Mytilus edulis: one gene and its partners. The protein of the gene in region 3 interacts with the protein of the main gene of each other region in a biochemical or structural test. Links are inferred from orthologs where the notes say so. Each region holds a gene or a part of one and is shown on either strand. Other genes may lie near its edges. The genes, in order: E3 ubiquitin-protein ligase RBX1, E3 ubiquitin-protein ligase RNF8-like, ubiquitin-conjugating enzyme E2 N-like and helicase-like transcription factor.

Evidence for each region.
Region 1: the proteins of ubiquitin-conjugating enzyme E2 N-like (region 3) and E3 ubiquitin-protein ligase RBX1 form a complex in vitro, tested with the Homo sapiens proteins (5 studies listed by BioGRID). The link is inferred for Mytilus edulis from reciprocal best matches to the Homo sapiens genes UBE2N and RBX1.
Region 2: the proteins of ubiquitin-conjugating enzyme E2 N-like (region 3) and E3 ubiquitin-protein ligase RNF8-like form a complex in vitro, tested with the Homo sapiens proteins (7 studies listed by BioGRID). The link is inferred for Mytilus edulis from reciprocal best matches to the Homo sapiens genes UBE2N and RNF8.
Region 4: the proteins of ubiquitin-conjugating enzyme E2 N-like (region 3) and helicase-like transcription factor form a complex in vitro, tested with the Homo sapiens proteins (2 studies listed by BioGRID, with this or other methods). The link is inferred for Mytilus edulis from reciprocal best matches to the Homo sapiens genes UBE2N and HLTF.

Annotation. Positions count from the first base shown.
Region 1 is NC_092351.1:23,909,749-23,916,764, reverse strand, and holds the start of E3 ubiquitin-protein ligase RBX1, read right to left. Parts: upstream 3,004-7,016; 5' UTR 2,941-3,003; coding exon 2,845-2,940; intron 1,366-2,844; coding exon 1,338-1,365; intron 1-1,337. Other genes in the region: uncharacterized protein, read left to right, coding at 4,370-4,491, 6,883-7,016. UniProt on the Homo sapiens protein: E3 ubiquitin ligase component of multiple cullin-RING-based E3 ubiquitin-protein ligase (CRLs) complexes which mediate the ubiquitination and subsequent proteasomal degradation of target proteins, including proteins involved in cell cycle progression, signal transduction, transcription and transcription-coupled nucleotide excision repair.
Region 2 is NC_092346.1:50,166,049-50,173,291, forward strand, and holds the start of E3 ubiquitin-protein ligase RNF8-like, read left to right. Parts: upstream 1-4,228; 5' UTR 4,229-4,300; coding exon 4,301-4,417; intron 4,418-6,499; coding exon 6,500-6,616; intron 6,617-7,243. Other genes in the region: ubiquitin-like FUBI-ribosomal protein eS30 fusion protein, read right to left, coding at 1,564-1,619, 1,911-2,049, 3,075-3,156, 4,165-4,217. UniProt on the Homo sapiens protein: E3 ubiquitin-protein ligase that plays a key role in DNA damage signaling via 2 distinct roles: by mediating the 'Lys-63'-linked ubiquitination of histones H2A and H2AX and promoting the recruitment of DNA repair proteins at double-strand breaks (DSBs) sites, and by catalyzing 'Lys-48'-linked ubiquitination to remove target proteins from DNA damage sites.
Region 3 is NC_092344.1:52,090,376-52,098,089, forward strand, and holds the start of ubiquitin-conjugating enzyme E2 N-like, read left to right. Parts: upstream 1-4,713; 5' UTR 4,714-4,820; coding exon 4,821-4,862; intron 4,863-7,714. UniProt on the Homo sapiens protein: The UBE2V1-UBE2N and UBE2V2-UBE2N heterodimers catalyze the synthesis of non-canonical 'Lys-63'-linked polyubiquitin chains. This type of polyubiquitination does not lead to protein degradation by the proteasome.
Region 4 is NC_092346.1:81,894,096-81,901,862, reverse strand, and holds the start of helicase-like transcription factor, read left to right. Parts: upstream 1-4,755; 5' UTR 4,756-4,880; exon of another isoform or gene 4,881-4,884; intron 4,885-7,767. Other genes in the region: uncharacterized protein, read right to left, coding at 1-1,836. UniProt on the Homo sapiens protein: Has both helicase and E3 ubiquitin ligase activities. Possesses intrinsic ATP-dependent nucleosome-remodeling activity; This activity may be required for transcriptional activation or repression of specific target promoters.

The DNA of each region.
Region 1 (7,016 bases), on a different chromosome or scaffold from region 3:
TTTGACGAAAATGTAATTTAAACCTTCAGCGCATCAAAAAATATTTTGCCTCTGAGGCGTGGAAGCAACTTAAAATTCGGAAATTATATATTATCAGATTATAGGACTATAGTTTACAGGGACTGTATATTTCATTTTCAATCAGTACATGTGCATTTATTATATATTATCAGAGACGTCTCTGATATTATTAACTTATAAATACAATTCGAAAATATTATTTGTTATACCAATTCCTTGCCTTCACTCATTCTACTCGAAATCCCCATATTATCGATAATTTCTGTATATATTTCACGTTTAATTCCCGATTTGATTGCATTTTATTATAAAACCGGATGTGGGTACGCGTAGCCTACGAATGTCAATTTGACTATTCGTACCCACATGCGGGTACGCGCAGACACTGCCTATTAAGAAGGGATATAATTACGATACTGTTGTCAAGTCATTAAAGATTGCATATTTTGGCGTTAATATTGAGTCACTGATAAGGTCTTTGCATCGGAACTAAACACATTTATTCTAAAAACAGTTGTTGGCATGACACGGGTTATGTTCTTCTCATATATGTTACGACTATGATAGTATGATACTAAACCCCTAACGGGAAGGATTGTGCCTGATGTTCATATGATGAAATCATAATCTTTCAGTCAGTTTAATTGAAGTCTGGAGCTGGCATGTCAGTTAACTGCTAGTAGTCTGTTGTTATTCATGTATTATTGTCATTTTGTTTATTTTCTTTGGTTACATCTTCTGACATCAGACTCGGACTTCTCTTGAACTGAATTTAAATGTGCGTATTGTTATGCGTTTACTTTTCTACATTGGTTAGAGGTATAGGGGGAGGGTTGAGATCTCACAAACATGTTTAACCCCGCCGCATTTTTGCGCCTGTCCCAAGTCAGGAGCCTCTGGCCTTTGTTAGTCTTGTATTATTTTAATTTTAGTTTCTTGTGTACAATTTGGAAATTAGTATGGCGTTCATTATCACTGGACTAGTATATATTTGTTTAGGGGCCAGCTGAAGGACGCCTCCGGGTGTGGGAATTTCTCGCTACATTGAAGACCTGTTGGTGACCCTCTGCTGTTGTTTTTTATTTGGTCGGGTTGTTGTCTCTCTGACACATTCCCCATTTCCATTCTCAATTTTATATAGCTAAGGAACACTGAAAACATTCACCACTTAGGACTGGCACATTAAAATATGTGACAGATTTGAAGAAAATAACTCCTGTCTGAATTCAAATGTAAAACTTCTATTCATTGATGTACTTCTAATATTCATCATCATGTCCACCTGAACTAATTTATCACTTTAATAGTGTACATACCCCAGGCCCATAAAGCTACAGCATTCCACTGAAATAGAAAATATTAAAAAATATACTTCTAATATACAAAATGGACAATCAAGTTACAATATGACAGATACAGTTGTATGTAACACTATCATGACTATTGATATTGGGTGTACAGGTTTGCAATTCACAGGCACTTGTCTCAGAATTGTTTTCCCCTATATACCTTTAAACATGTTAAATAATATAACACAAGGTACTTTAATACATGTAACTCACATTTTTCAAAAAATGTCACACGGTCACAAAATTCTGTTATATTTCAGTTTCTCGGTTGTCTTATTTGAAATTAGCTGATTTTTTAACTAATAAAAACACTTGCTATCATCATGATCATAAAACATTGTTATCACATGTAGGAGGTGCGCTTTTGTAGATTTCATACCATAGGCATAAATTAAAAAGGAAATAAGTGGTTCCTACAGGGTGTGTCTTTTTACCACCAAACATCACCGAAAACCACTGAACATCATAAAAACCACCAACCACTAAGATAAACTGTGATATTATACAATAAACATGATAAAATGATAAAACAAATTAAATTAGGTATAATTTAAACAATTTTTAGATTTATATGGGCATCATTTTTATGTTAAAGTCGATAATCAATATAAGGAAAACGTCTCAGGATTCATCACTTTCCGGATTACATTGTGTGTGTTAATATTCATATTTAGTAATCAGTTCAAGTATCCTCAATCTCTGTTCTCGGTTAGATTCTGATATTTGTCTATTTTCTTATTATTGGGACAAATGTTTTATAGAAGAGATAGAAGAAGAAAAAAACGGAAAAAAATATATTTGAGGTGTCCATGGGGGTCTGCAGAGTTCAAAAAGTGGGGTGTTATAGACTCTCCCTTTCTGTTTTCTGTAGATTTTTGGACTCTTAATCTTCTGATTTGTTAAATTAATAACTTGAATATAATATTTAAGACACATTTATAATGATGAAAGACAAAATAATAAACTTTTAAGGTGTTCGGTGGTGTGCGGTGGTGAAGAGACCTACCGGTCCCTATATCATGTATATATATATATATATACTGTTTTTATAACACCAGAAAAACTGGAGTGTACTCTGAAAACAAGGAATACCCAACTTGTCATGACTTGAGCTCAACCTGAGTAAGGCCCTTTGCTTTTGGCCAACTCTAAAATTAGTCCAAATAATTATGACTTCTTTGGAGTCTTGGAAGGCTATTTTTAATTTTTGCTTTGACGTCTTACGACCATGTTAGGCATCAAAGAAAAAAATATAATAGCCTTTCAAGATGTCATACTTATTTGGACTACTCTAAATGTATCTATGATATTAATGATTATGTTCATAATTGAGCTTTCCTTAAATGTTTAATAAAATGTTTCGTATTTTCGTATTTCTAAAATAGTAAAAATAGAACCAACAGTAACACTCAAGATGCGTAGATATTATTTCCGAAAAAGGAATGAGTTTGTGTAAAAGGTCGAAATGTTTTACTTTTTTAACTTCGAATCTCTTCTTTCCAGCTTTGTCTGCTCCCAAACCTGAAGATTCTCCAAGATCACCGTCATCGACATCCATAGCAGCAGCCATTATTTATGAAATTTCCGGCCTTCTAACGTCATCGTCAAATCAGTGCTAAAGTCTTGAGGAGTACTGAAAATTAAATTTGTAGATTTTTATGTGTAACGAATCTGTTAGTTCTTCTGGGTATCAGGTCGTTCCGGCCCCAAGTCGATTCGGCCCATAATTAAAATGAATAATTACTATAAAGGTCGGAGAGTTTGTCAAGTTTTTGATTCAGCGTAAATGAGAAATTGCACATAAATAAAGTTCAGTAAATTTTACTGATTGAAGAGATATATTTTAGGATTGTTAAAACAGATAAATCAGAAGCACGCCGACACCTTTGCTCATATTTTTTTCTGAAAGAGTAATGACACTTGGAATTATCAATTGGGCCTATATGGATGTAAATGGACTATGTTGGAAATTCGAAATGTCATTATAGTAATCATTCCACATCCCAATGTAATATAAATGACGCCATGGTGACCGTGTTGACCCGAGACTACTCTTTGTCATAGTGGTCTCAGTGTTCCCTATCTCTGAATTTCGATGCAGGACGTTTCGCCAACAGTCATTTCGGCCACACTACCAGTTTGGCAACAGTCATTTCGGCCATGCTACCAGTTCGACAACAGTCATTTCGGTCATGCTACCAGTTCGGCAACAGTCATTTCGGTCATGCTACCAGTTCGGCAACAGCTACTGGTCATTTCGGCCACACTACCAGTTCGGCAACAGTAATTTCGGTCATGCAGCCAGTTCGGCAACAGTCGTTTCGGCCATATGCTGCCACGAACTGAGTTCGGACAAACTTTGTAAAGTCATTAATTGCGGCCATGATTTTTATATAAAAGGACGTACATGTTACGTATAACTAACATACGTCCTTGATAAAAGGTAGAAAAAGATTTTTTTTTTAAATTTAAAAATAGTAAAAAAAAAACCAACCATATTAGATAAAGATGTATTTTAATTCAGTAAAAAATGTTACAAAAATATTCGTAAAGTTCACAATCAAATTGAAATAACATTTTAAAAACAAGATAACTTGTTGATAAAAAGTGATGTATATTAATTTAACAAAATATGTTTATCCAGAAAAATCCTCCTTTTTCACAACCAGTGTCTACTGAGAAAAAAAAATTCAGCTCGGTGACCTTGATTTTATACATGTCTGACATTTTTACTTGGTTTTGAATCTATCACAAAATATACTTCATATTTTGGCTAAGTTTGACAAAATTCTTCCTTTTTTTTATTCTCTATCATACCTCTTGAATGCATAATAAGGCAAAGTATGACCGAAATGCCTGTGGACGAACTGGAAGTTTGGCCGAAACGACCTGTGGACGAATTGGTATGTGACCGAAACGTTTCGAACGACCGTCTTTCGTTTCGTCTGTAAATCCGTTAAATAATTTATGTACATGTTGGAACATCTCGGAAAGGAAACATGTCAACTAACCAAACACCAGCCTCCAGAGACCATAAACATGGTCCTGGGGAGACAGAAAGTGCGGTCAAAGATGGAAAAAGTCCTCCTAATCATCCAATATTTGATGCAATCAAATCTGGGTAATTTCAACATATAAATCCAACCAAATCGCACACATCCGTCTCTATCTCTCTTGCACATCATCTGAATCTATAAGTTTTACATGTTTCACTAATGTTTATGTTTTACATAGAATTTTGTAAAGTGAAGTAACCAATAATATAATTTAAAGGGATTCTATTTGTTAGATGAAGCAATGAAAACGTGTTCAAAGTTTTTGTTTAATTTAGAAATTACTGTTTGTTTACTATGTTGCTAGTCATTTACATAATTACAAGGTTTAATAATAGCTACATTTTGAGGTATATTGTGATATATTAGCTGATTGCACCATATTAGTGTCACCCTTGTGTCAATTTTATGCCCTATTTATGGACATTATGTTTTCTGGTCTGTTCGTCCGTTTGTCTGTCCCGCTTAAGGTTAAAGTTTTTGGTCGAGGTAGTTTTTAATGAAGTTGAAGTCCAATCAACAGTTGAAACTTAGTCCACATGTTCCCTATGATATGATCTTTCAAATTAATAGAGTTTTTACTCCAATTTCACAGTCCATTGATAGGGCGAATGGGGCATCTGTGTACTATGACACATTCTTGTTCAAATTATTTTGCAGTTTCTGCATTAATAAAATTGAGAATGGAAATGGGACAATATACCACCATGACCACGAATACTAAATCATACTTGTGAGTGCAGTTTAAAACTTCACAGAATACTAATTTGTTTTTATTAAACTTTTATTATTATTCTTGGTAGGATTGATTTTTATAGTAAAATTAAAACATTGAAAATTATAGGAAGCATAATGCTTCTTTATACATGTAGTATACATTGTTATACCTGTAAATTATTAAATTATCACGATTATCATGATTATTATCCAAATGAAAAATAAGAAACTGAAATTTCTTTGAAAAAATCAATAAACATCATCATGATCATGTGAAAGGCATTTGCCTGATTTTGATTTGTAAATATGAGGAAGGCATTTTACTTCAGACACTATTTAAATGTCACCCTCCCATGCAGATCAATAATGTATTAATAATTCAAAAGACAAGGAATTGAATTCACTATCAATTACTATTTAAAAGACAATGTTCAGTAAAAGTTCTACGTTTCGGCCTTAGGCTTTTTCATAAAACTGTTAACAAAGCATAAATGCATGTTGCTTAACTTTTATTTCTTTTCTAATGATGTGTTACTTTTGTATATGAAGTCATAGTTTACTACTTACCCTTATGATTTTTAAATGACAATACTGACTGTTGACAGAACATTTAGTTTGATAAATTAAATATCAAATGAACAGATATCTCAGAGAGTGATATTGTATACTTATTGACTGGGTATAAGTGAAATAGTAAGTTTTATTGTTTATTGTCTCCGAGGTGCAACTATTGCCCTGATGGGGGGTTCTGATCCCGGATCCTGCTTACTGTTTTGTCAGATTCACGTATCCGGCTTATACTATGTACCTAAGCAATTCTAATTTTTTTGTAATTTCCCGTGTCCCGCTAGACCTTAATTCCCGTTTTCATGGCACAATAATTTGACTTTCCCGTATCACGCTTACGAAAAATCAGCAATCCCGCGTCACGCTTAGACCCCAATGAGACCCACCTGATGCATATCTGAGGGGTCAATGAACTTACTGTTACATGAATATCCAGTCAGCATGGTCAGTAAGTGTTTTATTTGACCAAAGAGACATCAGACAATAAATGTTGGGGCTAAATCAACTATCGTATAAATATAAAAAACAAAAACACAATTATATTGTTTCATGTTTACTTCATTATCATATATATTCTGAATGGTAAAGCAGTTTAAACTACGTTCTGCACTGATAAAACCCTAGATAAAAGGGGTAAAACTCGATGTTGCAACCCCCACGGCATTCTGAAATTAGTCAATACTGTAGCTGCATTTGAAATTCTGCGATATATGATGACGTTTGCGGTTAAATAGTTTCACCGAGGTCCAATAGTTGGAAACTATTGACTGGTCCAATTAAGTTCTACGCTTGCAATTTGAAAAAATAATGAAAATATTGTGTACTTATTTTATATACAAAATGATGACTGAGGTATAATAAAGCAGATTGTTGCCTTGGTAGACAATGTTTTCACAGAGTAACTATCTGCTCTCTTGCCCTCTCAGCTAAGTCATGTTTGTGTTTTAAAAAAAAGCATATAATAGCTTAAATGAGCTGGTAAAAGCAGAATTAGCTATAATTTAACTGTTTACATTGTATACTCCTACATGGCCTACATTGTAGGTAATACTTTATTTGTTAAAAATAATGAAATTTGACTTAGTTTTCACCATAGTTATAAATATACTGTACTGTCTGGACGTACATGTACCGTTAAGGCTTAAACATGTTAAAAACTGTGATTTTTGTTTCAGTATGTTGGTACCAGTTCAGACAGCAGCTGAAGATGGACCATCAGTTTTCTCACTCCGAGATGACAAAGGACACACTCCTGCCCATTGGGCATGTCTTGGAGGCCACACTGTTATACTGCGATTCATCTTAGACA
Region 2 (7,243 bases), on a different chromosome or scaffold from region 3:
ATGCATGTCATTCAAAATGGTATTAAAGACATTTTGTTTTAATAATAATGATAATAATAATAATTCTTTATTTAAAGAGGGTTACACAGTTAGCTGTAATCTTCCCTGAGGCCCTCATGAAATACAATGAAATATAACAAACAATTACAAAATATCAAACAGACACACATACATGAATAATGAAATAAAAAATTGTTATGAAATATACAATTTTCAAAACAGGTAAAAGTTACAAATTCATATATGACATGTATAGTATTGGCATCAACAATATCATAAGTTTGAGTAAATGTGTGAAAATTATTATGCATATAAAAAATGCATAGCTTCTTAATGTTCCATCAAGTAATTTTTTTAAATCTTTTTTGAATGAGCTTGTACTTGAGGTTGATTTTTTCAGGGATATTGGTAAGTTATTCCATAAAATAGATCCTGAATATATAAAAGATTTCTTATAAAGCTCTGTTTTGGCTTTTGGAACTTGTTAATTTTTGCAAGAGGCATTTCTCAAACAATATTGGTTTATTTCTGGCATTTAAACTTTTCAGGGAGATATAAAGGGGCTTCATTCTTAAGGCATTTATGCATCAAAACTGATTTGTGGTATGAGATTCTGTTCTCTACTGTCATCCATTCAAGCTGTTTAAACAGTAGAGCTGGTGATGAAAGTGGATCAGCATCTAAAATAAGTCTTGCAGCCCTTTTCTGCAATTTTATTATTCTGACTAGCTCATTTTTAGCACAACCACTCCAAATAATACAACAATAATCTATCAGTGGGAGAATATAACCATTATAAAATAATAGCAACATATCCACTGAATTGCTTTCAACAGTGATGATGAAGTTGACCTCTAGTTCACAAACAAAGACATTAATATATTGTATCACTACAAGAAAAATCTTATAAACTGTTTGAAGAATTAATGAAAACTTTGACTTATTTTTATCCTTTTTTTCTAAATAATTCTGGAATAAAAGGTCAAATAACTCCACCTAACAAGGCCTTAGAAATTGTCTCAGATTGCAGATTTTGCATTTCATTTTTCAAAATTTTCTGACGGTAAAAGTTCAGGAGTAATAAAATTTATTCACTGAATGTCAACTTTATTTTATCTGAAAAAAAAACAAAATATTTTCAAAACTCGAATGAATATTTGTGTGCTTTTGAGGTGCTCAGATGGCAGGAAATTGCATCTTATTTCGAAAAATTTTCTTGGGGGGGCATGCCCCCAAACCCCCCTAGCTAGTTCGGGCCGCGTTGTGGCCCTCACCGGTGATGGAGGTGGACTACCAGGACTACCCAAAATTTTTCTTGGTAGTCCTGTGGACTACATCACCTCTAATGTTAGTGTCAAACCCTGGCATATGTAATATGATGTCAACAAAAACATTTCAGCTGTGAAACAAGTCTATTATAGTCGGCCCTGTCTAGCCGAATGGTAATATACAATGAAGTGACGAAAAACAAATAACGATCTATGGACACTAAACTAGAAGAAATTCAATCTAATTCAGTGTATAATAATCTGAGTTTTGTATTATCATACAGAATAATCTTACCTTAGGTGTCTGTCCCTTGACCTTTCCTGCACGAGCAAGAGAACCGTGAACTTTACCTGTTGATAAAAAAAAATATTTTTAAATAAAGTTCAGGTAGGAATAGTCTAAAAGATTTGTATTGGCATTGGAAAGAAAGGAAGAAGATTCAAACAAAGACTCATATTTGTTGTATTATGTAAATTAGACTGCTAGTTTTTTCAGATGAATTAGTGTTTCATATTTTTCGTGTCAGGACTTTTGAACTGCTGACTATATGGTATACAAGTAGTTTATGCTCAAAGTTGAAGGCTGTAAGGTTGCTAATAAATATTTGATGAAAAAGTGGCCAAATTAAAAAAAAATATTACCTCCAAGCATTCTGAGGTCAACATCAAGAGTTGAAAGTTCATCGACGCTAGTTAGCTGAAAATCATCTTGTAAGGGTTTTCCTCCAAACATAATAACCTGTTCTTCAACTGGAAATCCATCCTTTGCTAGTAAAAAGCTCTAAAATCATAAAATTACAGGTTCACTTAAAATAATTACAAATCTATTAAAATGTCATAAATATGTTAATGATACTTGATAGTGATCAATCTCATTTTTGTTTGTTTTAATCATGTAATTAGGTTCTTGTTGTCCTGTTCTTAGATTGTATGTTTTGTTTTGTATACCATTGGTCTTTGTTTTGTGCCTGGCATCTTCCACAGCTTTTTTCAATATATCTTTCTTCATATTTCATGACTTTCATGTCATAAGTTATCTGATCACTGAGGAAAATGTGGAAACCAGTTTACTCAGAGAGCAGACCAGTGGGTTCTCAAGTGGTAGAAACAGGATGCTCTTGTTGTGGCTTTATATATAGTGTAATAATAATAAAAGATGGCCTTGTACAAAAAGGGTTGATACATCATTTACATGTACATGTATGTGGTCAGCCCAAGCTTTACATTAATTTATAACGGTATAGGCAATATTTAATCTTTCTATTCAAATCTAAATGTTTCTTGTGAAAGTCGACATTTGTTTCGTTTTCACAATACTTTTCCACTTTTAATCTTGTTTAACTTAACTTATCTATTCCAGTTGAATGCAATTGTCTTGACATACCCTACAAATCCAGTCCACTAGTGTGGAGCAGACAGTGAGAATCACAGGCTATAATCCAACTGAACACCATGTATACATATCAAATTACATGCTAAGACTAAAACTTACAGCAATTTGAATAGATACATTTTGTATTAAAATAAACAGCAATTTTCATATTCTGACAGGTACAATTAAATCATATTTTTGAAACATTCAGTCTGCATGGTTAGCCACTAGTCCAATGCCCCAGACTAGTCAAATTTCATTGGGACTAATAAGTTTTTGCAACTTTGTTTGGCCCAATAAGAAAAATGTCAGAATGTTGGTCTTCGGAGTTGAAAACATTTCTGATGCAGACGGAACATTAACAATAATCTGGATGTAAATTTTAAAATCTTATTGTGACAAAAAACATCTTTTTTTTTAATTTCTCTATTCACCTTGATATCTGCAATGGTTTCTGTTCCTGACACCTCAAAGGTGTGGGTTTGGCTACCCCGTACAAAAAGCTGCATGTTTAACCTAGAGATAAAAATAAAATAAACATGATAATTATGTTTCAGTAGGTCGAGTTGTATTCTTCATACACTAAATGCATTTCAATATCAATGAGAACAATATTCCGTCAAAACTACATGTAGTCGTGTAGATGTGACAATTTTAATTATATAGTTTTCTACAATACTTTTGTAAACCTACATCATCATCATCACCAACCTGACCAATCGTCAATGCTGTTTTAACTTTTTTGTTTGTTTGTTTTTTTAATTATTTTTCCTCCGATCCTGTAGGATGAATTTTCACTATTTTTTTCATGAGTTATAAACGTATTTACACTTTTGGTATTTAGCTGTATTGTGCCTCTGAATGACCTTATATCACCTCCGAATAACCTTTTGACGTCAAGCAACAATAACCTTTTAGTTGTGACGTCAAATGTTTTGAATTATGATGTCAAATTTACGGGAACCTGTGTGATTTTATGTAATGGCGGACAAATTTGCAAACAAGTGTAAATACGTCTATTGATGAGATGCGTCACAAAATCCTCCAATTTTAAAGAAATTATTCATTTTTCTAATTTTGGCTGGACAAGTTGGAACAGATTTGAAACAGACTGATACCAGGTTTTAAGATTAATATGATTTTATGAAAAATTTGTTTAGTAGGAGTCATCTTTTGAAGACAGTAGCCAGTGATCTCTCTCCTTAGTCTTGGTACCAATTCTTTCTGATATGATGTGGAGCGATTATCTGATTTGGTCATACACTGAATAAGAAAATTTCTAGCACTAACTTCATATGATATGTGTTCCAAATTAATTATTAATATTATATATTTATGGATATCCCGTCTTCAGCATGGGTGAGATTTACAGTTTATCAACATATGAAAAGCTGGAGTGAAATTAGCCGAGCACATACCTGTCTGTTCGTCAAAAAGTGGTCTGAGGAACGTGCAATATTTTATCAACTTTTAATATAGTGAAAATACATTAAAATAGGACAATAATCATCTAACAAGACTTACACGTGCTGGTGCAATGCAAAATCAGTCCAAAAAGGAAGTATATTTGTACGCATGCGTGGAAATACTACCCCGAAATCTATGACGTAAAGCACAAACGACTAGCGCAGAGCGCTCTCATCTAAATCGAGAAGCAAAAATGTCTCAGCAACTGAGCCAAACCAAAGACCAAGAAACAACATACATCCCTTGTCTTCATCGCATTGGCGATAATGTTAAGAAGCACAAGCTTATTAGCCTTGAAAAGAAAACCGAAGTATGCTATTTACATAAATTGTCCTTTCAAAAATATATTATAACCATGATATAAATACGTAATACAAATAAATCTTATGAGGTCCAGAAAAGTTATAGATACCCCTCTCTCTGTAGACAATAAACATAGTTGAGGTTCATCAATACACTTTAACAAAATGACTGTGTTTACACCATGAAATTTTCTCTGAGTACAGACAAAACTGATTTGAAAAGTTTTTTAGCCTGGCAGCATCTATGGTCTAGCTGCGAATGAAGTTCTTTTGATGATTTTGATATTTGCGGACAGTAAATTATGCCAAAAAAAAATTTATAAGACAATAGAGCTACGTTTTCTCAGCTAGGCAGCACATAGATAGTGGGTCTCATTAGGGTCTAAGCGTGATGCGGGATTGCCGTTTTTTTTAATAAGCGTGACACGTGAAATTCTGTATTCTGTAGGTGTCGCTGTTGACACTGGATTGTCCCTCTTTTAATTGTTCAAGTCTCGCGTGTAAATATTTCACTCTGGTAAACAACTCACTTGTACTTTAAAATATATACTTTTAGGTGGCAACTGTCAATGACTGTGCTTAACATATTTTGACAAAAATCAGTGATATTGTTGGCTTTTTTCAAAACTACCTGTACCCTTTTTTATTGGGAAAATATGCGTAATTTTCATCAAATTGGGAAATTTAGATTAAACAATGAATTTGACTGAAACTTCAATTTACAGACCCGCTTTCAAGAGTCAAACCCTGTTTAAAAATAAGACTGCTTTTGTCAATGATGATACATAAATAGACCCTCAAATCTGCACATATAGTAATTTTAGGCTTGTAAAATGTATACACTAGTGTTTTTCAGTTTGTATTCATGCAAAATAACTACTGAGACTGCACTGTTTGGGAAAAAGTTGTCTTTTTGGGAATAATTTTAAGCCATTTTTTTTTCAAATTGGGATTCTTCTCCAGGGGAAAAAGCCTTTATTCTCCATTAATTTAAGGCAAACAATTACACTGAAAATTAAAAACATAATACATTTATTAATTAACATGAAAATTTAAAGGAAAAAAAAAAGAAATAATAATTAATATTTCATTAATCAAACCGGCGTGACTCGCAAATAAAGCCACCCAACAATCGCATTAGTGTTTCATTAGAGATGGAGACATTGTCGTTTTTTTCCATCATGACAATAAAAGTTCCAAATCAATATGCAACGATCCTGTGTTTAAGTATATCTCATGTATAAGTTTCTGTCTAGCCTCTTCATAATTTTCACAAAATAGTAAATAATGTAATTTTTTAGATGGTATCCGGATCTTAAAATTCTAATAATTTTTGCTGTTTTATGATCTGGATAATCAAATGTTGATTTTTTGCTGACAATCTGATGAAAATTGTAATAAAATCTTCCTGTATCACTATTATCCCATCTATGTTGCCACTTTTTCACTAAAATTCTTGCTGCTGTTTTAATATCTTGTTTAGTTACTGTAATATGAGCTTCTTTTTTAATTTGATTTGCCTCTTTAGCTGCATGTCCTGGGGTCCATTCAAAATTAATTTTTATTCCACGATGTTTTTGGATAGATTTAATAAGGGAGTTGGGTTGGCAAGAACCTTCTGTAAAAGCAACAACTGTTGCAGGAGATACTGTGTTAAGTTTGTTTAATATTACATTTTTTCCTGTGATTTCTTGTTTCTTTTAGTAGGCAGGACTTTGACACTCAAAAACATATCCATTATATTGTAGAGTCATTTAATTACTGATATGGTACAGAAACAAAGATGTTCTCTATTGTACATGTAACATGTAACCAGTAGGGCTTTTATATCTTAAAAATGTTTCATCCCAGTAAATCCTTTTTTTTCAGTTTTCAGAACTTTTTCAATCCAAGGTCGGTGGTTTTCTCAGTAAATGAAGATTATTGGACTCAACTTACATGATTTTGATACATTGTACATCTTTGGATTCACTTATTTGGAAAATTAAATAATAGTCCTTGCAGATTTTCATGACTGCAGAATTCAATGGAGTTGTCATGGTGAGACTCCTGCTGTATTTTATTAAAATATCTGTTTATTTATCTTGTAGGTTACTGTAGGGAGAGCGCCAGATGTCACAGTTTGTCTCTTGTCTAACATGATATCAAGATGTCATGCCATATTCAAATGTAATGACGAGGGACAGTGGACTGTGAGAGACAATAAGGTACGTAATAGCCACATACAATCTTATTTAATTCAATCCTTTGTCTGAAGTTATTGTTTGAGAAATAAATAAAGATGTTTTGATCATACATGTACATGTATATTGATTTATCCTGCAATTGGGTGTTGTACTATACAGATAAAGCCCTACAGATATTGCTATGCTGTATCTGTATACTATACAGATAATGCTTTAAAGCTCCGCCCACTGCCAGACTGAGTATTATATGAACCTGTGTGACCTCAGAATGTGTATTGCAGTTGCATTCCAATGACGTATCAATTGCGAATTAACGATTACTTTTATACGTTCTGTTTGTTTTCAAACATTTCTTTAGAGCAATAAGAAACACCAATTTTCTGATAACATACACACATGAACAGCAGTCTTTTCTACGATGACAACTATCGATTTCAAAACTTGAATGTGTATGATTGTGTAACAAAAACAACCATGTCAATTTCAGCATGCATGTTTAGTGAATGTCGAGTCTGAAGCATAGGACAACTCGTACACTCCTGTTTCAAATTGGACAATGTTTTGTTATTTGTTTTTACTGTTGAAATTAGTTGTTATGTTAAAATAGATAATTATTCACCTTGAGTGATGTATTATTGTTGACCATTC
Region 3 (7,714 bases):
TTGAAATTGTTAGAGGGAAATATTGATGTTTTTTTCTATAGAATTCTAAATAGTATGTATAGCAATGGCAGACTCTGTGTGAGGGTAGATAATAAAATAACTGATTTTTTTTAGTTCAAAAGTTGGAGTCCGTCAAGGGGATGTTTTAAGTCCTAACCTGTTTATAAATTTTTCATAAACGATTTGCCCAAAGCTTTAAAGGACAACTGTAGAAGTTGGTCGGTGGAAAAATACACCAAGAGAAAATCGTATATGCTGTCACTGCGATTCAAATACCATTGGTGACGAATATCATTATTTTTTTGTATGTTCCAATAAACAAATTATGTCTTTAAGAGAAAGGTATATACCTACATATTACATAAAAAATCCTTCCCAATTGAAATTTATTGGTCTATTATCACACTGTAACGTGCCAGTGCTAACAAAAGTGTGCATGTTTCTAAGACATATTGAAAAAATATTTTCATAATTCATAGCATGTTACAATAATTTCTAACCACGTTGCAATTAAGAATTTTGCAAACAAATCAACCAAATATATTTCAGTTTTATTGTATGATATCAATTATTAATCTATTGTGTGACTTTCTTGTAAATGTATAAGTATGTATGTAATTTTTAATGTATAATTGTTATCCTCTTGTAGCACCATACGTGTGCCTAAGTTGTAATAAATTGTCTTGTCTTGTCTACAATTAAATAATAAATGTGTACCTTGCCTTCTCTATGCGGATGACCTGGTGTTATTTTCAGATAATAAAAAGGGTTTACAAACCCAACTTATTTTTTATACCAATATTGTAGTGACTGGTGTCTTGAAATAAACACAAAGAAAACACAAATTATAATCTTTAATAAAAATGGGAGACTACTGTCAGATGAATTTAATATAGGTGCAAACAGAATAGAGTGTTTGAAATTCTATAAATACTTAAGGATTAGTTCTTACTAATACTGGAAAATTTAATGCAGCTAGAAAAAAACCTATATGATAAAGAACTAAAGGCTTCTTTTAAATTTTACAAAAACATTAAGTCATTTTCTCCATCTATTAAGACTTTACTTCATATATTTGATCACACCATCAAACCAATGGCTGTGAAATATGGGGTATGTTAAATTTGACTCCAAAAAGAAGAACCATGCATCTTTTTGAAATCTTCAAAGATTGGGAACCTGATAAATTAAATCTTAAATTTTGCAAGTATGTTCTTGGTGTCTCCAAAAATTGTACAAATATTGGAGTTATATCAGAGCTAGGTAGATTTCCTTTGTATATTAACATAGTAATTTAAATGTTTATGTATTGGCACCACCTTGAAAACTCGCCCACTGATCTCTTAAGTGATGCTTATATTGAAAGTTCCTCTGATAAAGCTGTGGCTAATCAATCGTGGTATGCAAACATAAAGTTTTTTAGTGAAAAACTTGGTTTAAATTTAGCACTTTGTAAAAAACTCAGTAAAAATAAATTCAAAATTTTACTTACAAAATGTATCAAAACGGATTTTTTAACATATTGGAGCCATCAAAAAGACTTTTAAAAAAAAGATGATCACAGTAAATTGAGCAACTACTTTAAATTTAGACATAATTTCACTTTTGAAGATTACTTCAAAATTAAGAACAGAGATAAGAGAGTTATACTAACTAGATTTAGAATAAGCAATCATTGTCTCCGCATAACGAAAAATTGATGAACATGGAAAAAATATTAACACTGCCAAGATCGGAGAGAACATGCCAGTTTTGTTCAATGAACTCGGTTGAAGACCCTTTATAATAAGGAAAGAAAAGGCTTTTTATTTTTACTTTATGTGATTACATGCTTGTTATGAGCCCTATGATTAGGAAATAAAATATCTTTATCTTATCTTTATACGACCGCAAAAAAAATATTTTGCGATCGTATATTGGTATCATGTCGTCGTCGTCCGAAGACATTTGGTTTTCGCACAATAACTTTAGTAGAAGTAAAAAGATATATATGAATTTTAACACAAGGGTTATGACCATAAAAAAAAAGTTGGGATTGATTTGGGGAGTTTTGTCCCAACAGTTTAGGAATAAGGGCCCCGAAAAGGGCACAAATAAGCATTTTTCTTGGTTTATAACTTTAGTATACTAGTAAGTAAATAGAAATATATGAAATTTAAACACAAGGTTGATGACCACAAAAGGAAGTTTAGGATTGTTTTTGGAGTTTTGGTCCCAATAGTGTAGGAATAAGGGACCAAAAGGGTCCAAAAGTAAACTTAGTTTGATTTCATCAAAACTTGAATTATTGGGGTTCTTTGGTGTGTCGAATCTAAACGTGTATTTAAATTCTTAATTTTTTGTCGTTTTCAAATTGGTCTCAATTAAGGTTCAAAGGGTCCAAAATTTAACTAAGTTTGATTTTAACAATAATTGAATTCTTGGGGTTCTTTGATATGCTGAATCTGAACATGTACATAGATTTTTTTTATTATGGGCCAAGTTTACAAGTTGGTCTAAATTGGGGTACAAAATTAAACTTTGTTTGATTTCAACAAGGATTTGTATAGTAAATACAAATCCTTGATTTCAACAAAAATGGAATATATGGGGTTCTTTGATATGCTGAATCTAACCATGCATTTCGATTTTTATTATTTGGGCCCCTTTATCAAATTGTTCCACACTGAGGTCTAAAGGGTTCAAAATTGAACTTTATTTGAATTCATCAAAACTTGAATTCTTGGGGTTCTTTGATATTATGCTGAATCTAACCATGTATTTATATTTTATTTATTGGACCATAAAAGGTAAAAGACCAAATTAAAATATTTAAGATTTTAGACCACATTCATTCTGTGTCAGAAATCTATTTTGTGTCAACGTTTTAATCACAACCCAAATGCAGAGCTGCATAAAACTTGAATGGTGTGTCCATACTAGCCCCAACAAGTTCAACCTCTGCGGTCGTATCAAGCTGTGCCCTGCGAAGCATTTTATTATCTAATATAATGAAGCATAACAGAAAAAAAAGTTTCTCTCTAAATATCATAGTTTTCATGATAAATGGCAAAAATGAAAATAAAATATCATAAAACTTGTCATTTATGGGCAATAACTCCTATAAGAGTTTGTCTAGCAGTTTAGTCGTATATATGATAAAGGACAATTGATAGAGCTCATTATTCTGAACTTATTTTTTCATTTCAGATTTTCTCTATTTAATATAACGGTTCAAAAATAATAGATAAAACTTGCTTTTTACTTTTCTACTTTTACCAAGTCAGCCCTGTTGGTTGGTAGGCAGGGTTATCTGACATTTTTTAGCTAGATACTAACCTTAATGATGGTTGTTGCAAAGTTTGGTAAATTTGTCTCAGTAGTTTCAGAGGAGAAGATTTTTGTAAAAGACTACAATAAATTACAAAAAAATATCCAAAATTGACTACAAAGGACAATAACTGCTACAGGGGTCAATTGACCATTTTGGTAATGTTGGCTTATGTGTAGATCTTACTTTGCTGAAAATTTTGCTGTTTGCAGTTTATCTCTATCTATTATAATACTCAAAATAATAACCAAAAAATGTAAAATTTTCTTAAAATTACAAATTCTGAGACAGCAACCCATCAACAGGTAGTCTGATGCGTCTGACAATTTCAGGACAGATACGTCTTGATCTGATGAACATTTTCACCCCCGTTCAGATTTGCTTTAAATGCTTTAGTTTCAACATGGAAGTATTATATTGTCAATATAATACTTCCATGGTTTCAACAACAAATGAAAGATTTTAACGACCTTGACAGGCTATACAGCCCTTGCACGGTCGGCATTAGTTTCATCGGATACATTTTTCAAACTAGATACCCCAAGTTTGGTTTTATTTGGCCCATGCTTTCAGAAAGGAGATTTTTTTTAAAAGTTAGCGGACGACGACGGACGACGGACGCGAAATGATGAGAAAAGCTCACTTGGCACTTTTGGTCCAGGTGAGATCAAAATGCCGGAAGACTATGAAATAGAACCTATTGACATCCAAATCAAGAATAGAAGTGGGTATGGACACTGCTTTCTGTCTCTATATTGCCGGGGTGGGGTGGGGAAGAAAAATAGTTAATATCAAAATCAATAAAAAGCAAATGAAAATTAAGAAATATATGCATTATAGGGATAGAAGAATTCGGTATAATGCAATAATACAAGTACAATTTAGACTCAGCAATAACTCTGATTCGGTAAGTCACCCGTTAAACTCGGGAAAATATTCCATGTTTCAACTTGGTTGATGTTTTTCAGTCATATTGTGCCATTTCGTGGCTGTCAATTTTTTTTATATTTCAGTTGAGGAAGCCGGAGTGCCCGAAGAGAACCACATACCTTCAGTGGTGGATCCAGAACTTTTCCTAAAGGGGGAAAAAGTCATGCTTCAGTGATTCCCTATATAATCAACCAAATGTTTCCCACTACAGGGGATCCAACACCACCACCCCTGGATCCGCCTATGAGTTCTTCGACATGAAAACTGACAATCCGGCCTAGTCAATTACGATTGGAGTCGAGTGCACCTGCCACTTGAATAGTAGGTATTGGGAATTTATGTTATGATAAAATCTTTATTATGCCTAGATAACATTCCGATTTTTACTAGGAGGATTCTGAATCCTACTGAATTCCATTTTTTAATGTGACATATTTAAACAAAGTGAAACAGATACAATAGTGGACGAGTTGCACTGGGGCGAAATACCCATTTTTAACTTCCGGGGAAACGCCATTTTAAAACGTTCTGGTTCTCTCATAAACAGATAAACAAGACTTATTATAAGAAAAAGTAAAGAATGGCCACTGTACCTGGGAATTTACCCCGTCGAATCATAAAGGTGCCAATTATATTTCTCATAAAGTAGTCGGGATTCATAAATGATATCATACTTCAGTGTCTACAACATGATTTGCCATTTTTGAGTGAAGAGTTGAACATCATCATGTACAATTTCTTTGTGAATGGCGAGTTTTGCGGCAATACCTTTTTTTCAGTGATGAAAAGAAATACCATAACATTATTGTTTTAAGTTATTAGTCCAACAAATGATTAAGAATTTGGATGTCAATTCAGGGTTTGGTCCCCTGTTGGTTTCGACATCGGTCTGACATACCGATTTATTGGCGATTACCGGTCTATTTGAAAATCCGGATAAAAGGCCGATATGACTATAAAAGAACTTATTATTATTTGTTATCTTCAACACTAGACCCTATAAGTTGAGAAACTTGAACTGTTGATGTAATTCAACAATCACTTTTAGGTTGTTGCTGAGACTACTATAACATGTGTTATAGTAGTCTCAGGTTGTTGTGTCAAATCCCAACAATCACTTTAAGGTTGTTGTGTCAAATCCGGGTCTGTTCGTCCTGATTCACATTCGCTCAAGTACTTGTTTGCCCAGGTACATTTGTACCTGTTTGTCCAGGGTCCATTCATCTTGATTTGTATTTTTTCTTAATGCTGTCTAGGTGCATAATATTTATTTTGGAAACAAAATATGTTACAGTGGTATCCGGTCGTTCCGGCCCCAAACCGATCCGGCCCCAAGTCAATCCGGCCCACGTCGATCCGGCCCACGTCGATCCGGCCCCAAGTCGATCCGGCCCCATAATAAAATAAGAAATAACTATATTGATCTTGGAGGAATTTGTGACACAGTATAAATGGAATTTGCAAAAAGTGTCCAATGATGGATGACAACAGGTATTAAGTGAAGTATTGGAGTACCAGTTAAAGAACTATTTTAAATCGATACGAAAATGATTGTTATTGTGTCGTTGGTTGTATGGCAGCTTCAACATATTTTAAAATATGAAGTTATTTTCCATGATAACTTTAACTTTAACTCATGGCGATTTCATTTTCTTTTTTTTCATACACAGAATATCTAAATAAATATTTAGTCCACTGGAACCTATTAAATTTAACTCATCATAATGACTTGATTAATCAAATCATTAGTCTATAATTGGTTTGTTTATTCAACAATTGTCTGATGATTGTTAACTAAGGTGATGCCACTTGTAATCACTTAATTAAATCAAATCCTGATTAATTGATCTTCTGGTTAAGGTTGGTGTTTATAATAATTATAAATTGTATTTTTTTCAGGTAACATCACAGGCTTCTATTTACTTGTTTTTTTTTTTTATAATATCAACGAGGTCTTTATAGATTGATATTTTGTTTGGTGTATATAATAATAACCTATAATGGTTTACTTTTATAAACTGTTATTTGGATGGAGAGTTTTCTCATTGGCAATCACACCACATCTTCCTATATCGATATATTTTTCATAAATTTGACAGTATTTTCAATGAATAGTTGTGTGTAGAAAAAACACAAGTTATATGAGTATCCATTATTCTTTATTGCAAGAAAATAACAAAACAATGACACTGAATGCACATTTTCACACTCTAAAATATAATATCAGCACTACTAAAATATAACAATAACATCATACATACTAACTATCTCTGACACTCACATAAATATACATAACCTTTTAATAAATCATTTACACTAACAGTTTTACACTGTCACTTACTTAAAGGAATTGTTTTAATATAATTATACCCAATAATCTTGAAAACTTGAAAAATAAAAACATAATCAACCTAGTTGTTTTATACTCATCTGAAGAATTTTTTTTTTTTTTTTTTTACCGTACACCTTTAACATTATAATAAAAATCATAAACATTTATGAATTACTTTAATATATATCTTTATTTTTATTCCTTATAAATATATTTTTTTATTGGGGCCGGATCGACTTTACATTTGGGCCGGATCGACGTGGGGCCGGATCGACGTGGGACGGATCGACTTGGGCCGGATCGACGTGGGGCCGGATCGACGCGAAAGCGTTACAGTTACAGTTTGTTGAAAAATTCGCCAAATATTTTTATTATGTTATCTTTACATATTTCTGGGTACACAAATATACAAAATGAATCCATGACAAATCGCCCCACACCTAATCGCGCCACTTTTTTTCAAACTTTCCCCACTCTTGTTTACCAACTCGCCCCACTTATGAAAAAGATAAACTCCCATTGCAAATAGGTTTGATAACATGCCCCCCTTATGAAAAGGGTTAAAATCCCGCTGAAATACAGTCTGTCAACTGGCCCCACTCATGACAAATAGATAAACCACTTATAAAAAAGATGCAATCCCATCTTTTTCCCTGCCCACGTCAATACCTTTGAAAACCTAAGTGAAGTGCTATAAAATCAAATTGCTGTTAAAAACTCTGTTTTTGCAATAAAGTTATATATAAATGTTAATCACGCATCAATTGTATGATTATGATACAATTAATAGGTTTCTTTTCAATTGTTATACAAATAACTAAGCTTACAAGTATAAAGTTATTCTCCAATAATGATACGAAAATGTATTTGCAATTATATTTTAAGAATGTTAAAAAAGTTTAATAAATTTCATTTTTTTTGTATTCTGTGTAGATTACAAAAATCAAAATAAGTTTTCATTTAAGTGCGGCTAGTTGGTAGACCTGAAAATTGTATATAGAAGTAGATTTTTCCTTTTTTTCAATAAGTGGGGCGAGTTGACAGGGGAAAAATTAACTGGATTTAACCCTTTTCACAAGTGAGGCGATTTTTTTAAAAAGTGGGGCGAGTTGGTTAACCAGGTTGGGGCGATTTTTTTAATA
Region 4 (7,767 bases), on a different chromosome or scaffold from region 3:
TTTGGACTGTACAGCGGTTGGTCCGGAACCTCTAATTACTCTGTCTCCAACTATATCCCAATAATAATCGGCGCCAACTAAGACTGATATCTCAAAATCCTTGTCCTGTAAAGCTGGGTGGGCTAACTTCAATCCATTTAAATGCGTAAAACTCGACTGGTTCCTTGCGTATGTATGTATCGGATAAGCAATCTGTGGTACTATAAGAACTTCAATAGGGATAAGTATATTCGTTAGACCTTTTATATAGATAGTAGCAATTGGTAAATTTCTAACCTTCTTGTTGGATTCACCGAAACCGGATATCGTTATCGCTTCTTTCCTATGTGGTCTCAGGTTCAATAAATCGGCCATCTCTTGAGTGATAAAGCTTCGCTGGGCTCCTTCGTCGAATAGTATATTGGCGGTGTTAAAATGTGTCTTGTCATACGTGATAGGTGCTATCGCGGTTTTCAACAATACTTGCGATCTAACCGATGATGTGGATGAATGCATGCTTGCGACTGCGGCATCGGTATCTGGTTTTGATGTACTGCTATCTTTAGACTTGGTATACAAGTGTGTTTCATTCTTTGAACAAATACTAGTATGGTGTCGTTTATTACAGTTTTTACATGTTTTATCGGATTTGCAATCGGCAACTCTGTGATTTCCTAAGCAATTGAAACATGCCTGTTTTTCCTTAACAATTCGTTTTCGATCTTCTATTTCCATGACATTTTTACAAGCTAACGGGGCGTGAACTCCTTGACAAAAGATGCACGGCTTCTTGGTTATGTCTCTTTTCCCTTTTTGATTAGCGTAGTTACGATTTGTACCCGTAAGGAATGCTGATGTGGGTGTGTAATTTGGCTCTATATTATCCCCGTTTACCGACTGACCTGCTTCCTTAATCGTTATCTCATGTTGAATAGCTTGCCGTAACGACGGCAAGTTCCAGTGGTCGCCTCCGTGGGCACGTACCATGTTTTCTCGTATATTCCCAGGTAGTTTATTTAATATTATGGGCACTAAAAGGCTTCCGAACGACTCTTGAGACTCTCCTATACTTTCAAGGCCACGGATGTAGTTTTCCATGCTGTCGTAAAAAAATTTCAAATGTGTAATATTTGACGTTGGACTAGGAAGGCTGATTAAACTCTGCATGTATGTTTGTACTATCTTGTGTGGTTGACCGAATCTTTGTTTCAGTACATGTAATGCTTGTCCGTAATTTGTGTTAGTTATTTGTAGACCTGCTATGCATTGGGTGGCTTCTCCGAACAGTTGAGATTTCAAATAATTAAATTTCTGTACATCGCTTAAAGACAGGTTATCGTGTACGGCAGCACTAAACGAATCCCAAAAGGGTTGCCATTCTAACATATTCCCGCCGAACGTTGGTAAATTTAATTTGGGAAGTTTGTGGTACATGCTGGAGTTTGAAAAAACGGACGCTGATGTATTTGCGTGCATGAAACTGGGCTGTGGCTGACTTTCTTGATGATTCGTGTAATTAATAAACTCGTGTGCATTTGGGTTTAGCAATGACTTACTTGACTGTTTGTCTGTGATTTCCGATTCCTTAATGATTTTTGAAAGTTTGGTTACAGCCATTTCTATGTCATACGTGTATCTGTCGGCTTCCTCTATTTCTTCGCTCACTTCTTCTTCTGATAATTCCTCCACAATCTTCTCGTTCAGTTGGTCGATCGTTTCCTGCTTTTTAGCAATAAGTCCTCGAATGGTAGAAAGTTCGCTAACGTCATATTCCTGCAAAAGTTCCTCGGAACTCGGTTCCACTTTCTTCAGTAACTTTGTAAGAACTCCCCGATGTCCAGCTCGTCTGGTCTTCATCTTCGTTGTCGCGGTACTCATCTTTCGTATTCTTCTGTTTTTGTCACGGCACCAATGTTTTGGACGTATCAATAATAAAGGCGAGTAAACACAAAAGCGTCTTCAATGTTTCGTATGCTTTACTAGAGTCCAAGATATACAAAGAGACGTCGTCAAGTGACGACGTTGCGGGCTTATTGTTACGTAAAATGGCGGTAAAACGTTAAGCAAATAAAAGAGTATAAAATACTAAACTGAAACTATAACTAATTCACAACATATGTAGATTCTTAATTTTTGGTCCCGTTTTCAAATTGGTCTACATTAAGGTCCAAAGTGTCCAAAATTAAACTTAGTTTGATTTTAACAAAAATTGAATCCTTGGGGTTCTTTGATATGCTGAATTTAAAAAAAATGTACTTAGAATTTTAATTATTGGCCTAGTTTTCAAGTTGGTCCAAAATTAAACTTTGTTTGATTTCATCAAAAATTGAATAAATGGGTTCTTTGATATGCCAAATCTAACTGTGTATGTAGATTCTTAATTTTTGGTCCAGTTTTGAAATTGGTCTACATTAAGGTCCAAAGGGTCCAAAATTAAACTAAGTTTGATTTTAACAAAAATTGAATTATTGGGCTTATTTGATATGCTTTATCTAAACATGTACTTTGATTTTTGATTATGGGCCCAGTTTTCAAGTTGGTCCAAATCAGGATTCCATATCAAGTATTGTGCAATAGCAAGAAATTTTCAATTGCACAGTATTGCACAATAGAAAGAAATATCTAATTGCACAATATTGTGCAATAGCAATTAATTTTCAATTGGAGTTATCTTTCTTTGTATAGAATAGTAGTTGATTATATATGTTGGAAATTTGCCAGACATGACTATGATGTCATTTTCTATTTTTATTTGCCAATAACTTTATGTAAATAACTTCATTGGAAATTTGCCAATATAAAATGTTGCTGATGAAGCTTTTTTTCCTTATCTTATCTAAAATGTTTTTAGATAATGTATGTTGGACATTTCCCAGACATGACTATGATGTCATTTTCTATTTTTATTTGCCAATAACTTTATGTAAATAACTTCATTGGAAATTTGCCAATATAAAATGTTGCTGATGAAGTTTTTTTTTTCCTTATCTTATCTAAAATATATTTAGCTTAAAAGTTGTGTCCATACTTGTTCTCATTTCAGATTTCATAAATAAAAAGAAAATTTCTTCAAACGTTTTTTTGACAGGATTAATATTCAACAGCATAGTGAATTGCTCAAAGGCAAAAAAAAATTTAAGTTCATTAGACCACATTCATTCTGTGTCAGAAACCTATGCTGCAGGGGCGGATGCAGGAATTTTCGAAAGGGGGGGTGCTAACCCAGGGCAAAGGGGGGGGGGGGGGTGCAGGGGGGGTGCAAAACATATGTCCCGATACAAATGCATTGATCGGCAAAAATAAAGGGGGGGTGCGCACCCCCGGAACCCCCCCCCCCCCCCCTGGATCCGCCACTGTGCTGTGTCAACTATTTAATTTTAGATTTAAATAAGTTTGAAGAAGAAATCTTTAATTGATTTGTAAAATCTTGACATTTGTTTTGTGTAAAAAAAACCATATAATGTCAAAAATTTGATCACAATCCAAATTCAGAGCTGTATCACGCTTAAATGTTTTGTCCATACCTGCCTCAACTGTTCAGGGATCGACCTCTGCGGTCGTATAAAGCTGCGCCCTGCGGAGCACCTGGTTATGTTTTGGTCTGTTTTTCTTAAACTATAAGCATAAGGTCAACTTTATTTGGTGTATGGAATGATTGTTAGGTGTTTATATTTGTCTGGCAGGAATCATATGACCTTGACCTCTTCTTCATGGTTCATAAGTCAATGATAAGTTTTTAAGGGGTAGTTCCAGGGGTTGGATCCCCCATTTTTTTGGACGATCAATGCATTTGAATGGGAACATGTAGTTTGAACCCCCCCTTTTATCCTATGTTGGGAACTCCCTTTTAAAAATGGCTGGATCTGCACCTGTTTGGTGTATGAAATCAAGGATTTGTATACACAGGCACTTGTTTCTGTCAACCCATGATTTTTCGTGACGGTGTGGATAGTAAACCCCACATTGACAGAAACAAGTGTCTGTGTTTGTTTAGTCTTGCTATACAAATCCTTGACGAAATTATTGTAAAGGGTACTTGTATTTCTGGTTAAGTTAATCTGACCTTGATTTTTTTTTCTTGAATCAAGATAGTATATATATATATGATACTTGTGGTAAAGCTTTATATTTGGGACAATCAATATTAGGAAAATTTGGATGATGATTCAGGGAAGCAGGACTGGAGAGGGCCCTCTAATGGCAGTCAGTGGGGCCCACTTTTGAAAAAATTCTGAAACCGTCTGCACTGCCACATTAAGTTCTAGATCCACTATTAAATGATCTTAAATGATAGAAATAGAAATTTTATGCATTTATTTTTGTTATGAAAATAACCATTAAACTTTAAAGAGGAGGTTGGGGTTTAATTTTTTTATAAATAATTTTCTGATCCCCAATTTGATGAATAAAAATATTGTGATCAAGTAAGATGAATAAAAAAAATATTCTGAAAATCCAGATTTCCCCATACCTTTTAAAAAGTGTTAAATTTGTAGAGAAAAAAATGATTGTGTGATAAAACTAACAAAATGTTTCTGTTTTCCTACCAAAAAAATATCCTACTCAGACAACAAACAATAACAGCCTTTAAAGTTACATGATTTTTTATTTGGTATAATCATGGAAGTATTAAATAAAAATACTTCCATGGTATAATGAAAAATGAGACGAACATTAAATTTACTATGTTACAATTGTTTAATTCAAAGAATCGAATGCGACCAATTGAGATCAGGGTCACACTACTTAATCTAGTATGCCCGGAAAATGAAAATTGGCGGGAAATCGTATTGAACTAAATTGAAGTTATTGCAGACGAACAGGATTTTAGTGCACTATTCACAACAGAGGTGCTGTTATAGCAATCTTTTTTTTTACTACGAGTTGGTCTATTAGATTGTGTAAGTAAGATATGGACGTACTTGCATGCTGCCATTTGGCATTTGCTGGGGTTAACATTTACCTGTTTATTGTCAAACCTCCGTCCGTGTTGTGTTGCTAAATTTAGAATTATTATTTTCTTCTTCTTCTTCTTCCAATAATTTGCATACCACCTCTGGTGTATTGTCGCAAATGACTATTTGCCTATGCCCAAAGGAAACACCTTTCCGACATACTATATACAAAAATTTGGTTAAAAGCCATCGTGCCTTCGTGGTGTTATATTAAAACTGTAATATCTAACATAAAGCAGGTGTCTGGAGTCTGTCTTTGAATCCTTCCAAAGTGGAAGCTGTGACGACAGCATATGGTAGTTCATTCCTCAGACGAATTTTAGATGGAAAAAATGATTGCTGGTGGTTTTGTATTCTTGAGTAGGGTAGTAGGAATCTGGTGTCATGTCCTCTAGTTGTTAATGCTACACCCCTCGGTATTAAGGATTGCTCAGCAGGGACTTAATTCAGTTCGGGAAAGGTACAAATTCGTTAACGTATACGAATTCGCTAACGTTAACAAATTTGTTAGCACCAATAGAACCAATGTTATATGCATATAAAACTATTGCTTTTGTGAATATAACATAGAGGAGGATGCCTTCATTTTTTTAACTTCACTCTGCAAGTTACTGTAATATTCAATTTCTGTTTCATCCATCTGCAATGATACATATGTTTTCTGCTCAAAAGTCATCTTAATTCAATGAGAGAAAAAATGTACAAGGTTTAAAATTAGGATTTATTGTAACGGGATTTTAAAAGGGACCCACAGACAAAATAAAAACCAATAAAAAGTCTTAATTAACCACGATTGGAGCTCCTTTAAAAGGGGAGGGGGCACAGGCACCCCCCTGAATCAGTCTTTGATAATATTAGTTTAAAAGAATATATATATAAGCAAAATGGAAATATTTCGTTTTTATGAAAACTAAATCTGTTATTAAACTGAAATTAATACTAACTAAACTACAATGACCTCAAACTAAAAAGTTTCACTTAGAAGCCTCATTAAACGTTTGTATTTTAATTTGCATTCTTTACGGAATTGTGTGACGTAAGAGCTAAGGGACGAACGGTTATCCACAAGGGTCGAGTTGTCCCAATAACAAAATGGCCGACAATGTTGTTTTACGGAGAAGGAGAGGTAGAATATACAAACCTTGAGGTATTTCTGCTAATTTTCTGGTCAGACGTTAAATTCTCCCGGTCAAAAAGAACAGGAAGTTAGTATTCTAATTGCAAAACCATATTCTGCGATGCCGTTTTCTGTATCAAAGTGCCGATTTCAATTTGTTTGTGAAGTTAACGAATTTGTTAATGTTGTGCTAACAAATTTGTTAACGTTAACGAATTCGTATGCGTTAACAAATTTGTATCTTTCCCGAACTGAATTTGGGAATTTCAAGCTGGGAGCCCAGACCAGATATTTCATAATTAGTTTCTATATGTTCAACTGAAATTTACCTGAAAGTTAAGGGCCCCAGCTCAAAATCTAGAAGCCATGGGCAACTGGGCTTCCTTTAAGTTTTGTCCCTGCTCAGGTGGTATTGCAACAAGATGGGTGTATTATGCGGTAGAGCATGATGGTCTTTACTCTCTTTCTACATTCTTGTAATTCAATCCATTGCAGGTCTTTAAGCATCTGGGTAACACTACCGGTGGTTCTGTAGTCCCCAGTTACAAAGCGTGCTGCTCTTCTCTGCACCATTTCTAACTCTCTGATGTTTTTCTGCGTTATTGGGTCCCAAATGATACAAGCGTACTCCATAATTGGTCTTACTATTGTGGTATAACATTGGGCCTTGATCTTATTATGACAGGAGCTGATATTTCTTCTCAAGAAAGAATTGATGTTCGCTTTCTTGGTTACTGTACCTATATGGTAGTTCCATGATGAGTTGTGGCTGATGTTAAGGCCTAGGTATTTAACATTCTTCACTACTTCTAATGTTTTTCCATGTATGGTGTACATATCTTTTGGTAAAGTAAACAAGCATCTGCAAATAATCTAGCTTTAGATGTTACTAGTTCTGGCAGGTCATTTATGTAGATGAGAAAGAGAAGAGGCCCCATTACAGTTCCTTGGGAAACCCCAGATGTTTCTGACTTCTTTCAATCTAAAACAACCTGTTGTGATCGGCCCTGAAGGAAACTCCCTATCCATTGAAGTGTGTTCCCTCTTATACCATAGTATCTGCATTTGCTCAACAGGCGTTGGTGTGGCACTTTGTCAAACGCTTTTGAAAAGTCTAGCAGTACACTGTCAATTTGATCCCTGCTGTTGAGTCCATCTGCTAGGTCTTGTATAGTAATAGCAAACTGGCTCTCACATGTTTTATTTTTACGGAAACCATGTTGATTTTCAGACAGGATGTTATTTGCCTCAAGATGACTGATGATGTTACTATGAATAATATGTTTCATGATCTTGCTACAAATCGACGTCAGGGATACAGGAGGATAGTTTGATGCTTTTCCTCTGTCTCCTTTTTGTCGAGCCTTCGACTTTAGTCGAAAAAGGGAGACTAAGCGATCCTACATTCCGTCGTCGTCGGCGGCGTCCACAAATATTCACTCTGTGGCTTAAGTTTTTGAAATTTGAATAACTTTCTCAAACGATCCTGGATTTCTACCAAACTTGGACAGAAGCTTGTTTAAGATCAAAAGATAGTATCCAGAAGTAAATTTTGTAAAAATAAAATTCAATTTTTTCCGTATTTTACTTATAAGTGGACTTAGTTTTTCTGCTGGGAAATATTACATTCACTCTGTGGTTAAAGTTTTTAAAATTTTAATAACTTTCTTAAACTATCCTGGGTTGGTACCAAACTTGGACAGAAGATTGTTTATG